Stegostoma tigrinum: one gene and its partner. The protein of the gene in region 1 purifies or fractionates together with the protein of each later gene. This does not show direct contact. Links are inferred from orthologs where the notes say so. Each region holds a gene or a part of one and is shown on either strand. Other genes may lie near its edges. The genes, in order: clcn5b and tmem9.

Region 1 (7,943 bases):
AGCTGCCTCTTCCCACCTGATGGTTGCGGTTCCTGGGCCCGCCGACGCACCTTCCTCCTTGCTTTCCGGACCATCGTCCACTCCCCTGTCCACTCGCCTGTCGCCACCTCCATCGACTCCGGGTTGTCGGGGGGGAGCGGAGCCTGCAGGGGCGCTTTGCTGGCCTCGGGCCCATCCTGCGGGGCTGGGCCCCCCTGCACAACCTGGCCCTCCTGCACATTAGTGGGGTCCTTGCAGGGCCCTGGTGCCTTCCTCTCCTCTGGGGGGTGCTGGCCCCGCATTGCCCTTGCCGGCGACCTGGGCGTAGGTGGTCCCCCGCTGCGGGCATGCCCTATAGAGGTGGCCTGCTTCCCCGCAAAGGTTGCAGCTTTTCTCTTGTGGGCAATCCTTTGCAAGGTGTCCCTCCTCCCTGCAGTTCCTGCAGATGGTGGCTTTGCAGTCGGCCGCCACGTGACCTGACCTACCACAGGCATGGCAGACTTTAGGTTGCCCTGCATAGGTCAGGTAGCCCTTGCTTCCGCCGATCACGAAGCTGGACGGTAGGTGTATGACGTTCCCGTCCGCGCCCATCCTCAGCATCATCTTGACCTGCCTCTTACTGGTCCAGATGCCAAAGGGGTCCATGATGTGAGTTAGGTCCCCTTCCACCTCCACGTACCTTCCAAGGAAGGTCAGGACATCAACTGCTGGCACATGCGGGTTGTACATGTGTACAGTCACCATACGGCTCCTCTGCGCTGGCATCACGAACAGCGGGACAGCGGTCAATATAGAGAGGGGGCCCTCACCTCCTTTCTCCTTGAAAACCTCCAGGAAGCACTCGCAAAGCTTGGCACTCCTGAAGGTCACGTCGTAAAAACCTCCTCCGGGGAAATCCTGCAGGCAGTAAATGTCCGCAGTAGCGAACCCACAACAGTCCAACAGGACCCTCTTCACAAAGAAGGTGCGGTCCACAGGTGCACCTTCATCGACCTTCTTCACGGAAACACGGATGGTGTTCCGGTCCCCCTGACCTGGGGCACAAGCACTTGCCGCAGCCATCGTTGCAGGTTGGCTGCTCCCCTGAACCAGCATTAGGCCGAAGCTAGCATTAAGATCCACTGGTTGCAAGGGTGCACAGCCAACCCGACGTCTTCCTTTCACCTCCAACACAGCGCTCACCTCCTCTCGGTCCACAAGAGAGTGGGTCTTTATTTTGTTCCAGATGTAAGCTGGTTCACTGAGCTTGAAGGTGTGTTCCCAGATGTTTTGTCACCATTCTAGGTAACATCAACAGTGAGCCTCCGACAAAGCGCTGGTGTTATGTCCTAATTTCTATTTATCTGGTTAGGTTTCCTTGGGTTGGTGATGTCATTTCCTGTTCTTTTTCTCAGGGGATGGTAGATTGGCTCCAAATCAATGTGTTTGTTGATGGAGTTCCGGTTGGAATGCCATGCTTCTAGGAATTCCCATGCGTGTCTCTGTTTGGCTTGTCCTAGGATGGATGTGTTGACCCAATCAAAGTGGTGTCCTTCCTCATCTGTATGTAAGGATACTAGTGATAGTGGGTCATGTCGTTTTGTGGCTAGTTGATGTTCATGTATTCTGGTGGCTAGCTTTCTGCCAGTTTGTCCAATGTAATGTTTGTCACAGTTCTTGCAAGGTATTTTGTAGATGATGTTCGTTTTGCTTGGGAGGAGGGAAGTGTACGACGATAACAGGCATTAGAAAGGTAGGCAGGTGTAGGTACACGTAAATGGTTTGGGTGGGAACCTGAGAAAGTATGAAGCCTGTGGAGTTAATTCAGTGAGTTAACAGGAAACAAATGTGGATGTTTGGGGGCCCACGGAAATGTTCAGCTGGAAACCACTGGAATAGGACAGCTTACTGTCACCTTCCATCAAGATGTAAATGGAAAGTGTACAATGGGAAAGAAAATGGCTGTGAACACACACAGAGTTGGTGAGGTAAGTAACTCAACCAATGAGGGAGTGCACTGCAGCAATCACCAATCGTAGGGCTCCCAAAGTTAAATCCCATGCAATGTACAGCACACAGGCTGTCTACAATCTGGCCATCCAGAAGCAGTGATCTGTCTCTGCATTTTGCACCCTTTGGCACAACCGCTATTGTACAACTTATTAACAGCTACATCTTTGAGCCAAGATCTAAAGATGTTCAAAGGGGAGGGTGAATGGTGTTCAACATGTATACATTGTCTGCCCCACCTCCCACATTTAGATAGTGCACTGCATTTTCATCACAGATCATTATCCATTGAGCCTCATCTGTGGCCACGAGTGCTGCCAGAATGTGTGCAAAGGCTTTTAACCCCAATGCAGACTGACTTATAGTTAAAACCAGGAACTTTTATGCCATACAAGCCTTTTCCACCCACGCCGCCAAACAGTGCTCAATACATTTCCTTCTCTTTCCTGTGGTCTATCATAGTCCACTAATCGTGGTCCACTTCCTGGTCCTGTAGTGGGATAGTAGAAGCATGACAGTTGAGCCCATGGAGGGGCTGGACGAGTGGAGGAAGAGGACTCGGCCACCTCTGCACTGTCCTGAGTGGAACATGCCAAAGATCCTGTGTGGTTCTGCCTTAGGCTGATCTCAGGAGACACCTAACCAATCTCCTTGTGAGGTGGTAGCAGCTGCACTGGAGTCAAGGTTTCCTGTTTTGTAATGCTGCCACGAAGACTGTGGTCCAGAGGATGAATGGCTGGGCCAATGGAGCGCTGGTGTGTCCTCCTCTCCAAATGATCCTGCTGCTAATGGCTCGGTTCTTCAGGGCAGTTGCCAACCTATCCATGGAACAGCCAGATGTTGCATGAGTCATTGCACTACTGCAGCTTCTGGGCAATGAAGGCTATTGTGTTCCATAGGCATGTCTGTCCTGACAGCTGACACACAGGTCCTCTCTGCCTGCAGCTGAGTAGATGCCTGGTCTGCATCACCACCTGCAAATTTCCCTCCAATCCACATCCTCCAACCTGACTTCAAAATATATCTCCAAATATTATCATCCCTCCCTAGCAATATTGAGCATGCACCTGCACCACATGGACTGTAGCAGTTTAAGGTAGTTGAGCACCCTCTTCTCAAGAGCGATTAAGGATAGGCAATGAATGTGGATTGAGCCAATGGTGCCTTCATTCCATGAATGAATTTTAAAAGTTGCCATCATTTTGAACTGAGGTTTCAATAGCAGAAGCTATTGCTTGCATATCAAAAGACTTTAACAATTAAGGTTAGAGACTTTAATAAATGAAGGTTGGGTTTTGGTATTGCTAGTAGCTTAAACTTACATTTTGTGTAAATATGTGCATGAACAGGAATCAGGAAGTATACAAGTTTTATTTTTTGCTCTGCTTCCTCGACCCACATGCAAGAAATGTTGGCATGAACAAGTTGAATTCAAGGATCTGTTTTGTACTGTATGACTCTATGACCTCCATCTCCACTACCTACTGAGGCAGAGAGTTTCAAAGTTGTGCACCCTCAGAGAGAAAAATATATCCCTCTCCCCTGTCCGAAAATGGCAAACCTTAACTTTAAAAGTGTCACCTGGACTCATCCACCAGAGTAAATATCTATTCCACGTCCATCATGTCTAGACCATTTAAGGTCTTATCAATTTCAATCAAATCTAGTGAAAACAAGCCCAACCCCTCTTTTTTTAATAAAACATCCCATTCATCACAAGTATCAATCGACTTTTGAATAAAATACACTAGACTGCTTTTTTTGATGTGTCTGCTGAGGCAATTCTAGAGGAGAGGGTAAACATTTGACTCGAATGAGGGTCTCTACAACATATTCTGATCTCCGTATGCTTTTCCCAGAGCACCCCTGCAGCAAGGGCTACCTGGTCGGCAGTGACTTAATAGGACAATTATCCTTATTGTGGAATTGAATTACAATTTTCTTTTGGTTAACAGGCCCATTGAAATGGAGGGATGATGTTTCACCGTCTGAGTTGTGATCCACATGAGGCGTTTCATTAAGGCCTTGATATATTATAGTGTTCCTGGTCAGAACATAGATATTTTTATTTTGAGATTTTGGACTGAAATTAAGAAAACTGGACACTGCTTTGAAAAGCGGAGAATGAAGAAAGAGTTGTTTGAAACTTGGAAAAACAAATGAAACTAATGAACGTGTGAGAGTGGACAGAATCCTACATAAACCCCTAAATGACATACAGTATAGCATGAAATCACGAAGAATTGTATGAGGCACCAAATGAGGTCTTTCTTCGCGTTAGGAGCACATCGCAAAGGAGTTCCAGAGGTTGAAGTGGGATTCTCGTTAGGGAGCATTTTTTTTCCAGCTTTGGCAGAAATGGGGAAATTAGCACCCCACCTTAGAGGCAAGCACTGAGATATCCATAGGATAAGTGTAGTTTAGTGTAAAGGCAGGGCATCCACTATCCCGGGAAGGGTATCATAGTCTCCAAAACCAGATCCTGCCAATTGTCTTCTTACCAAGCATGTCCAAAAGGAGCATATCGTATTAGCTCTGTAGATCGCCAATGAAAATATCCTATTAAGATGTACAATTAACTGTTTAGATATCACATCTTCCCCCTTTCTACGTCCAGTCGCTTTGACACTATTCTTGATAAAATATCATTTTATAATCGCAAGTATTTCGAAAGGAAATGTAAACGAATAAAATACTGGATGTCGAACTCGAAAGTTGAAGGAAACGAATGCAAATATATCTCTGCCTTTTTACCCATCTGTTCAGCCCCTTTCTCGCTGAGATCAGTGTGAGCTACTGCCCTCGATGGACTAGGCCCGGTTTCCATGGTGACTGCATGGCCCCGCTATCACTTCCGGGGGTGTTGGTGAGGAGGTCGCAGTGGAGGTTGTGATGTGTCGGAACTTTAACGGTGTGGGTTCCAGGCCGGCCCTGTCCTGCCCTCTTGGCCTCTGGTATGTTGCTGCTGCCGCTGCCGCTGCCGAGGACAACGCTGGTCTAATCACGGGATAGAGCTGGGGGAGGGGCACAGGGACCAGCGCAGGGTTCCAGCTGTCAGGTCGGTGACTCACTCGTCTCTTTCCAGTCACTTCCTCTTCGGTCCATCTCCTGTAAATTTCATCTTGTTTTCACGAGTTTATCTCCAGTGGGACGCCCTGAGCTCGGTACTTCATTTGATCAGTTACATCCGTGATGCCTGTAACAGGGTTTGTTTCCGTTGCATACAAACATTAGCGTATTGAAGTGTTGCAGTTTCTCCCCCTTCTACCGAATACCTTCTCTCGACTTTCAGAATTACTCCTTCACCCAAAACCAGATCTCGTATCAAATATTCCCAAACAGATCAAACAGATGTGAGTTTATCCAGCCAGCGAAGTAATTTGGCAGGGATTTGTCACATGATATTTAATAATGTTAATGGACGATTTGTTTACTGATAAGATTGTGTTCTTGAAGGCAGTGACTCTGTATGTTTAGTCTCTAGTAACGTTTATGTGGGGATTACGGGATCACTTTGTTCCAAGCTATTTCTCAATAATTTCACAGTGGCTTTGCTATATATTCGTAAACTCATTTTAGGTTTGAGAATTGCTAAGACAAGTACTTCTACCTGGTTCTGAGTACTTTGAGTCAAATCTGAATAATGCGTTTGATTTTCTTGGTGAGTGCAAGGTTGACTGAAAAGCTGAGATCTTGCACTACTGTATTTATGTTAAGAAATGAAACATTAGTTTATTGCTCTTGATTTAGACATCTCATTTAGGAAAATATTGTAAAATTAATAGGTGTCAATTTTTTGGTTTTGATTTTCAGGCTGGATTCTATAATTTTCTGATGCAATGTTGTCGCATATACTGCATTTTTATCTTAACAAGTAAAGATTAAAGAGCCATACAGCACAGAAACAGACCGTTTGGTCAAACCAGACCATGCCGACCATAATCTCAAACTAAACCAGGCCCATGTCCTTCCAAACATTTCTTATTCGTGCACTTGTCTAAATGTCTTTTAAATATAACTGTACCCACATCCACCACATCCTCTGGAAGTTCATTCCATACACAAACCACTCTTTTAATAAAAAATGCCCCTCGTGTCTTTTTTAACTCTTTCTCCTCTCACCTTAGAAATATGCCCCTTGATCTTGAAATCCCCTACCCCAGGGAAAAGATACTTGCCATTCACCTTACTTTATCCCTCCTAATTTTATAAATCTCTATAAGGTCACCCCTCAACCTCCTACCTCTGAGTGAATAAAGTCCCAGCCTATTCCAACTTCCCTTTATAATACAAACCCGCCATTCCCAGTAACATCCTGGTAAATCTCTTGTGAACCCTCTCTAGCATTATAATATACTTCCTATAACAGGGTAATGAGAACTGGACATGGTATGCTAGAAGACACTTCACCAATTTCCTTTACAACCTCAACATAATGTCACTCAGAGGCCTGAGCAATGATGGCAAGCCTGCTAAATGCCTTCTCAACCACCCTATCTACATGTGTTGCAAACTTAAAAGAATTATGTACCTGAATCCTGTCTGTTCGACAACACTCCTCAAGGCCTTCCTTTTGATTGTGTAATTGCTGTCCTTGTTTGTTCTACTAAAATGCAATATCTTACATTTATCCAGATTAAACTCCATCTGCCAGTCTTCAGCCCATTGACCTAACTAATCAAGATCTCTTTGTAATCTTAGTCTTCTTCACTGTTGACCAAGCCACCAGTTTTGGAGTCATCTGCAAACTTACTAACTATGCCTTCTATATTCTCATGTAAATCATTTATATAAATGACGAACAAAAGTGTACCCCGTACTGATCACTGTGGAATGCTACTGGTCACAGACCTCCAGCCTGAAAAGTGACCCTCCACTGTCACTCTGTCTTCTGCTGTTAAGCTATTTTTGTATCCAATTGGCAAGCTCACCCTGAATCCTGTGCCATCTAACTTTAGTAATTAGTCTATCAGGTGGAACCTTGTCAATGGCTTTACTAGAGTCCAAGTAAGCAATGTCTACCACTCGACACATATCAATCTTCTTGGCTACTTGCTCAAAAAACTCAATTAATTTGTGAGACTCTACTTCCCTCATTTAAAAAAAAAGTGCAGATTGACTATCCCTAATTGTACCTTACTCTCCAAAATATATATAAATCCTAAATTTCAGAATCACTTTCAACAACTTACCCACCACCAAAGTCAGACTCACCGGTCTATAGTTCCCAGTCTTCCCCTTACAGCCCTTCTTAAACAAAGGCACAACATTAGCCCCTCTCCAGTCATCTGGCATTCCACCCATAGTTATAGATGATACTAATATTTTTGCGAGGGGAGCTTCCCACAGTGACCCAGGATACACTCGATCAAGTACTGGAGATTTATCCACCTTTTATATTTTCTAAGATCTCCAGCCCTTCCTCTCCTGTCACCATGTGAACTGTTTTCAAAACTTCAATATTTATTTCCCTCAATTCTCTAGCCTCTGTTTCTTTCTCCATAATAAAAGCTGATGCAAAATAATCATTTAATATTACCTTATTTTCCAAGGCTATCTCATATCCTCTATTTGCTGACCTGATCCCCCTCTTAAGAATGCCTGTAGTCCCTTTATACTCTTCAAGAGATTCATTTGAACCTTGTTGTCTACGTCTAAGATTCTTGACTGGAACCTCAATATCTTTATTCACCTGTTGTTCTCTCATCCTTTGGGTCTTACCTTTCACTCTGACTAGAACACAATGACTTTGAACTCTTTTGCCTCCCTGTTATCAGACTTTCCTTTACCTGCGAACAGTATGCTCCATTCAATTTTTGAAAATTCTTGTCTCCTACAATTAAAATCTGCCTTACTCCAATTAAAGACTTGAATTTGTATGGAAGGTTTTTCTTTTCCATTACTATTTTAAAACACATGGAATAATAATCACTAGACCCAAAGTGTTTCCCCCACTATCACTTCAGTCATTTGCC
Region 2 (7,338 bases), on another chromosome or scaffold:
GCACCTGACATGACATTAGGATATCTTTATGGCCAATGAACTGCTTCTGGAAAATTTTGAAAACATGACAACTATTTTGACACATCAAGCTCACATAATTAGCAATGTGGTGATGGTCAGACAATCTGGTTCCAATGATGCTATGAGGCTCCTAATTGCTCACATAATCAAAACAGAACTTGCTGGAAAAGCTCAGCGGGTCTAGCAGCATCTGTGGACAGAAATCAGAGTTAACGTTTCAGGTCTAGTGACGCTTCTTCAGGATTCATTTCTCAGGAAGGGTCACTGGACCTGAAACGTTAACTCTGATTTCTGCCCACAGATGCTGCCAGACCTGCTGCGCTTTTCCAGCAGTTTCTATTTGAGTGACCGACAATGTTCCTAGGTCACCAGTGGACTAATTTTTCTGTTATTTGTATATTTTAGTGAACACCAATTTCACCATCTTCCAGAGTAGGATTCCAGCCCATACCCCAAAGAATAAGCCTAATGATCTGGATTTCTGGTTCAATGATATTACCACTATTCCACCAACTTGCCAGCATACACCCTATGATCTTGCCAATGCGCAGTGCTTCCTTCGAGTCTTGTTCAACATGGAAAAATGCTGTTTCATCATTTGACAGGAAGAAGATGAGGGTATTGACAGTAGGTTTGCAACCAGCAGGATTATCTAACGTGATGCCATGAGATTTCATGGGCAGCAGAGTGAAAGTTGGGGATTTTCAGGGCAATTGCTTCCGAACTCTATACCACTATTCTGCCATTTCCACGGGTCTGTACTGTCAGTGGATAGCACATACACAGGGATGGTGATGGTGGTGTCTATGATATTGTCTGTAAGGTATTATTCCATGAGTATAACTATGTCAGGCTGTTGATTGATTAGTCTGTGGGACAGTTCTCCCAATTTTGGCATGAGTCCCCATATGATAATAAGGAGGTCTTTGCAGGGCCGACAAGATGTTTCTGCTGTTTAGCTTCTGATTTCCATCATCTGCAGTTCTTTCGGTTTTTGTTTCGGTTTCTGCCGTTGTCTTTTCTGGCGATGAAAAGATGGCAGCCATATGCCACATTGAACAATTTGAGTGAGAGGGAACTGCAGACAAACATCAAGGGAGTAGATGATTCACAGAGCATGAGAATGAAAAATAGAGAGGGTTCAGGAGGGAATTCTCCACAGCATGGGATATCATTCACTGAAGATACCAGTTTTTAATAGTTATCAGTTATCTTCCTTACAGTAAGATGCTGGCGAAGTAAGATACACCAGCTGGAGCTCATCCGCTCCGCACAATTTTTTTCTACCTCTTTTCCTCCCTTCTGTGGTTTTTCTTCTTGACTTCTGTCTTTTTGCACCCTCAGCCTTGGACACCCGGCCTCCAAAGCAGGTTCGGATGCCCCGAGCAGGGGTATCAGCAACCAGCACCCAAGGTTGGCAGACTGGCAACCAGCGACCCAGAGCAGGGATGTCACCAACACAGTGTGGGAGCGAAAGTTGTGGCCCAGTGTGGGACATGACGCCTTCCCATGGTCAGACCCCTACACTGGCCTGCTGCGGAGAGCCCTTGGTAGGAGACAGTGATGTCTGTCTTTCTAACTTTGCTTCTTATTTTTCTGACCTATGGTTATCAATCAAAGAATAAAGAAAATTACAGCTCAGGAACAGGCCCTGCTGCCCTCCAAGTCTGTGCCGATCCAGATCCTCTACCTAAACCTGTCGCCTATTTTCCAAGAACAAAAACAAAGTTGCTGGAAACGCTCAGCAGGTCTGGCAGCATCTGTGGAAGACAAAACAGAGTTAACATTTCAGGTCCCATGACCCTTCCTCAGAACCTTTCCTCAGAGCCTATTTTCCAAGGATCTGTATCCCTCTGCTCCCTGCCCATTCATGTATCTGTCTAGATACATCTTAAATGACGCTATTATGCCTGCCTCTACCACCTCCGCTGGCAATGCATTCCAGGCACCCACCACCCTCTGTGTAAAGAACTTTCCACGCATATCTCCCCTAAACTTTTCCCCTCTCCCCTTGAAATCATGACCCCTAGTAATTGAGTGCCCCACTCTGGGAAAAAGCTTCTTGCTATCCACCCTGTCTATATGTCTCATGATTTTGTAAGATCTCAATCAGGTCCCCCCTCAACCTCCATCCTTCTAATGTAAATAATCCTAATCTACTCAACCCCTCTTCATACCTAGCGCCCTTCATACCAGGCAACATCCTGGTGAACCTCCTCTGTAAAGTATCCACATCCTTTAGGCGATGTGGCGACCAGAACTACACACAGTACTCCAAATGTGGCCGAACCAAAGTCCTATACAACTGCAACATGACCTGCCAACTCTTGTACTCAATACCCCGTCTGATGAATGAAAGCATGCCGTATGCCTTCTTGACCATTCTATTGACCTGCATTGCCACCTTCAGAGTACAATGGACCTGAACACCCAGATCTCTCTGTGCATCAATTTTCCCCAGGGATTTTCCATTTACTGTATAGTTCGCTCTTGAATTGGATCTTCCAAAATTCATCACCTTGCATTTGCCTGAATTGAACTCCATCTGTCATTTCTTCACCCAACTCTCCAATCTATCTATATTCTGCTGCATTCTCCGACAGTCCCCTTCATTATCTGCTACTTCACCAATCTTAGTGTTGTCTGCAAACTCCACCAATCTTGGTGTCATCTGCATTATACTGTGTATAGCTGCCACTTTTTTCTCCTTCATTTCTCTATTCTGTAACTAAGGGTTGTACCTAGGTATCTTTGTATCCAAGATAGCACCATGTATTGGTGCCATTGTTTTACTATAACTAATCTTGTAATTGAAAAATTTGCACCTAGTTACCCTTTGTACGTAAGGTGATGCTGTAAGTGGCAACTTATAAACTTTTCACTGTACCCATTTGAGTACGTGTGACAATAAAGCTAATTCAATTCAATTCAGTTCAGGTAAATGCATTATTATCAATGACACATAGGGAGCCAAAAGCTGCACAGGTGGAGTGCGCCAATCCAGCTGTAAGCATCATTGTGGAAGTTTACTTCAGGTGCAGATGCAGATGAAAGTGGGTAGTGAGTGGTATGGTTTTTCTGAAGAAGGGTCTCGACCCAAAACGTCAGCTTTCCTGCTCCTTTTTTTGCTGCTTGGCCTGCTGTGTTCATCCAGCTCTGCACGTCGTTATCTCAGTGAGTGGTAAGGAGATGGCTTTGCCTAGATCATGGAACAGAGGGGTCATGTGTGATGGCGAACATTTATGGAATTGCTGTGAATTGGTTAATATGGCAGTGGGGAAGGATAGATGGTTACTTTAAGCAACAGAGGGGTAATTTGAATTGAAATAGAAATGAAATTATTGTGATTAGATGAGGAATCACTGAGATAAAAATACAAGAATGAGAAGAATTTCTACGTGGCAATTCTCGGTTACACCAATGTGGCAAATGGCCCATAACTCAGTATAATTCTCAGCAAAAGATGTTTGAAATGTTGAAATCTGTGACACTTGGTCTTGGATAGCTGTTTCTTCCGGAAACTTCACACTTAAAAGAGCACCTTTTACTAGATTGGCCTTCTGTCAGTAAGTAATTTCCACCTCAGTTCTTGCTAGAATTTGGAAATATTGCTGACATATACAATACTTAGTCCATATTATCAACATGATAATTGGGAGTGCAAGAATTCTGAACATAAACACACTTTTCAAACGGAACAAAAGTTGTTTGCTTAAACCAAGTTGAGAATTTGCCCTTCCCGATGAAGACGGGGGTTAATCCTCAATCGGGCAGTTTCATTGACAGAAGTGGACTCAGATGGCCCTCTGGGCTTTGAAGTTTCACGGTTGAATACTGCCCAGTTTCGCAGGCACAGAACTACAGCTCCCATAAAGCACGGCGGCAGGAACCGTAACTGATAGACATCGTTAAAGCCCAATAATCGCGTGACTTTGTGTGGGGCGGGGAAAGGTTTCACCAATGGAGACAGGCTAAGGGCGGGATTTGATGCTTGGTGCTGCGTAGGGTTGAAGAGAGTTCAGGCTTGAGGTCGCCGACTGTTGAATCCTTGGGCCTGAGAGCGTCACTTTCTGTCTGTCCATCAGGAGAACATGGAGGGGAGTAAAGTCTTCATGATGTTGTGCCTGCTGATGCTGTTCGTGTTGTCTGAATCGTCCAAGGTAAGATGCTGGTGTCCAGGCCGCAGTCTCTGTCTCTGCCCTGAAGGTGTTGGAGAGAGAGAGGGGGGACTTATTCCACAGGTTCATGTAATGGGAATTAGTCTAAATAATATAGAAAAATTATGATATTTCATCCAATAGGGCCGTGAGCAAGGATCCTCCACTGTATCAGTACTAGGCTAGTGAAGGCTTTGAAATTCTACTTATATAAAGTGATGCAATTTATGTTGTAAATATGGTTACTTGTGTATATGTTATATCCCATATGGGTGAGTATCTGCCTACAAGGCTCAGCTGAAGTGGACATCCCTAAGTTTGATATGAAGGCAATCCAGAAGCTAATTTCAGAGTTTGCAAATGAACTGGAAAATACGACTTTGATCAGACCCAAATGGAGAACTCTGTCATCAAGCAACTTTGATGTTTGAGGATAACTGAGTTAAGTGTGTTCAGGACAGGTTCACGTGGCACAAAGCCCACGCCAGCATCTTATTCATAGAGTTATAAAGTTGTACGGCTCGGAAACAGACTCTGTCCAACTTGTCCGTGCTGACCAGATTATCCTAAATTATTCTAGTCTCGTTTGCCAGCATTTGACCCATATGCCCCGAACCCTTCCTATTTGTGTGTACATCCAGATGCCATTTAAATGTAATCAGATCAGCATAGCATCCACCACTTCCTGCAGCAGCTAATTCCATATACACCTCTGCATGAAAATGCTTCCCCTTAGGTCCCTTTTAGATCTTTCTTCTTTCACCTTAAACCTCTGCCCTCTAGTTTTGGACTCCCCTATCCTGGGAAAAAGACCTTGGGCTATTCATCTTATCCATGCCCCCCCCCCTCATGATTTTATAAACGTCTATAAGGTCACCCCTCAGCCTCCAACGCTCCAGGGAAAATAGCCCCAGCCCAATCAACCTCTCCCTAAAGCTCAAACCCTTCAAACCTGATTTCATCCTTGTTAATCTTTTCTGTACCTTTTCAAGTTTAACTCATCTCTCCTGTAGCAGGGAGACTAGAATTGAGCACGGTGTTCAAAAAGTGGCCTATCTAGTGTCCTGTACAGCTCCAACATGACATCTTAATTTGTATACTCAAATGCGCTGACAAATAAAGGCAAATGTACCAAACACCACCTTCACTATCTTGTCTACCTGCAACTCCGCCTTCAAGGAACTATGAACCTGCACTGCAAGGCCTCTCTGTTCAGCACTGCTCAACATGAACTTGCCTCAGGTCTGACGTCGCTGACTGTTGAAGCCTTGGGCCTGAGATCGTCACTTTCTGTCTGTCCATCAGGAGAACATGAAGGGGAGTAAACTCTTCATGATGCTGTGCCTGCTGATGCTGTTCGTATTGTCTGAATCGCCATGCTCTGGTTCGCCTTGCCAAAATGCAACACCTCACATTTATCTAAACTCCATCTGCCACTCCTCAGCTCATCAGTCCAAGGTCATGTTATACTCTAAGATAACCACCTTTGCTGTTCACCACACCAATTTTGGTCTCATCTACACTCTTACTAACCATATTCCCTGTATTCATGTCCAAATCATTTATATAAATGACAAAAATCATTGGCTTCACATGAAGGATTTGCGGACAGCACAGTGGCTCAGTGGTTAGCATTGTTGCATCACAGCACCAGGGATCTGTGTTCGATTCCACCCTTGGATATCTGCCTGTGTGGAGTTTACATGTTCTCCCTGTGTCTGCATGGGTTTCCTCTGGGTGCTCCTCCTAAATCCAAAATTGTGCAGATTAAGTGGATTGGCAATGCTAAATTGCCTATAGTGTCCAGGGATGTGCAGGATAGGTTGATTAGCCGTGGGAAATGATGGATTATAGGGATAGGATAGGGGGACAAGTCTGGATGGGATGCTGTTCAGAGGATCAGTGTGGATTCAATGGGCCAAATAGCCTGCTTCTACACTGTAGGGATTCCATGTTTTGTGGTCAGTTATGCAAATCAAGAATAGGCTGAATGATGATATTGCATGTGACAAACTACTTTCTTTGTTTATTTTTGCTGAAGTCTCATCCATCGAAGTGGTGGGAGAATCTTTTAAAAAAAACAACTATGCAGATGTTGTCTTGATTCATTTTGTAACACTGTTGCCTTAGACTCAAAGTTCCTCTCTCTAAGCCATGAATACAAAAATCAAGGCTGACATTCTGGTGCAGGACTGAGGGAATGCATAATTATTAGAGGTGCCTTACGTTAAACTGATTCCATTGCTGTTGAGGTGGATGCAGAAGATCCCATAGTACTGTTTGTGGAAGAGCAAGAGCATTAACATGGTGTCCTGGCCAATATTTGTTCCTCATTTAACATCACAGAAACAGATTGTCTGGTTATATTGACTTCTTTTTTTGGTGAGAGTTTGCAGAATGTGAATTGGCTGTCATTGTTATGTACATTACCACAGAGACTGCACTTCAAAAGTTGGGTATCAGATGTTTTTAGACAAAGTGTTCAAGAAAATGTTATACAATTGCATGTCTTTTTCTTTACAGTTTGTATTCTATTATATATACGTATGTATATAAAGCAAGATATCAACGGCTCAGATTTTTCAGTCATTGATAAAGTGAGATGCTGAATTACTGTCAAAAAACCATGCCCAGAAAATCTACCAGACTCTGTGCCACAAAGTTACTCTTTTCTGGCATTGTTTACGTTTTGCCACCAGCCACAGGCAATCTCTGTATTCCACTGGATTGATACCATATAGAAACTTAAGCAAATTGATGAATTTTCAGAGAGCAAACGAGGAAGTAACAAGAAATTTTTGCTGTGGAAAAGTGACACTTATCAAACACAAAATTAGTTTTTCATGGCCAGAGAGGTTTTTGGTGTAATTCTCAAATTAATATTACACCTCTGTCAAGAAACAATTTTTTTTCAAGCTTTCTACAATGGGAATAACAGCATAATGTGAAGAAATCCAAGCCAGTTTGGTCATTTCTAATTGAGATCAACTGGCGAGGGTTTAAACAGTGCACCATGCAGGGAATCACTGACAGCAGCTTCTGGATGTGTGTGTTTATCTGTGCATGCACAGACAAGAGAAATTACTCTTAGTTTCACAGGGTAATAATAGTCAACCCTGGATGTCTGGGTGTGTGTATGAATGTAGCAAACTTTTTGAAA

What was found.
Region 2: the proteins of clcn5b (region 1) and tmem9 purify together in Homo sapiens (co-immunoprecipitation; 3 studies listed by BioGRID and IntAct, with this or other methods). This does not show direct contact. The link is inferred for Stegostoma tigrinum from reciprocal best matches to the Homo sapiens genes CLCN5 and TMEM9.

Annotation. Positions count from the first base shown.
Region 1 is NC_081368.1:43,902,939-43,910,881, forward strand, and holds the start of clcn5b (H(+)/Cl(-) exchange transporter 5), read left to right. Parts: upstream 1-4,796; 5' UTR 4,797-4,922; exon of another isoform or gene 4,923-5,132; intron 5,133-5,220; exon of another isoform or gene 5,221-5,321; intron 5,322-7,943. UniProt on the Homo sapiens protein: Proton-coupled chloride transporter. Functions as antiport system and exchanges chloride ions against protons. Important for normal acidification of the endosome lumen. May play an important role in renal tubular function.
Region 2 is NC_081374.1:43,004,169-43,011,506, forward strand, and holds the start of tmem9 (transmembrane protein 9), read left to right. Parts: upstream 1-4,009; 5' UTR 4,010-4,112; coding exon 4,113-4,181; intron 4,182-7,338. UniProt on the Homo sapiens protein: Transmembrane protein that binds to and facilitates the assembly of lysosomal proton-transporting V-type ATPase (v-ATPase), resulting in enhanced lysosomal acidification and trafficking.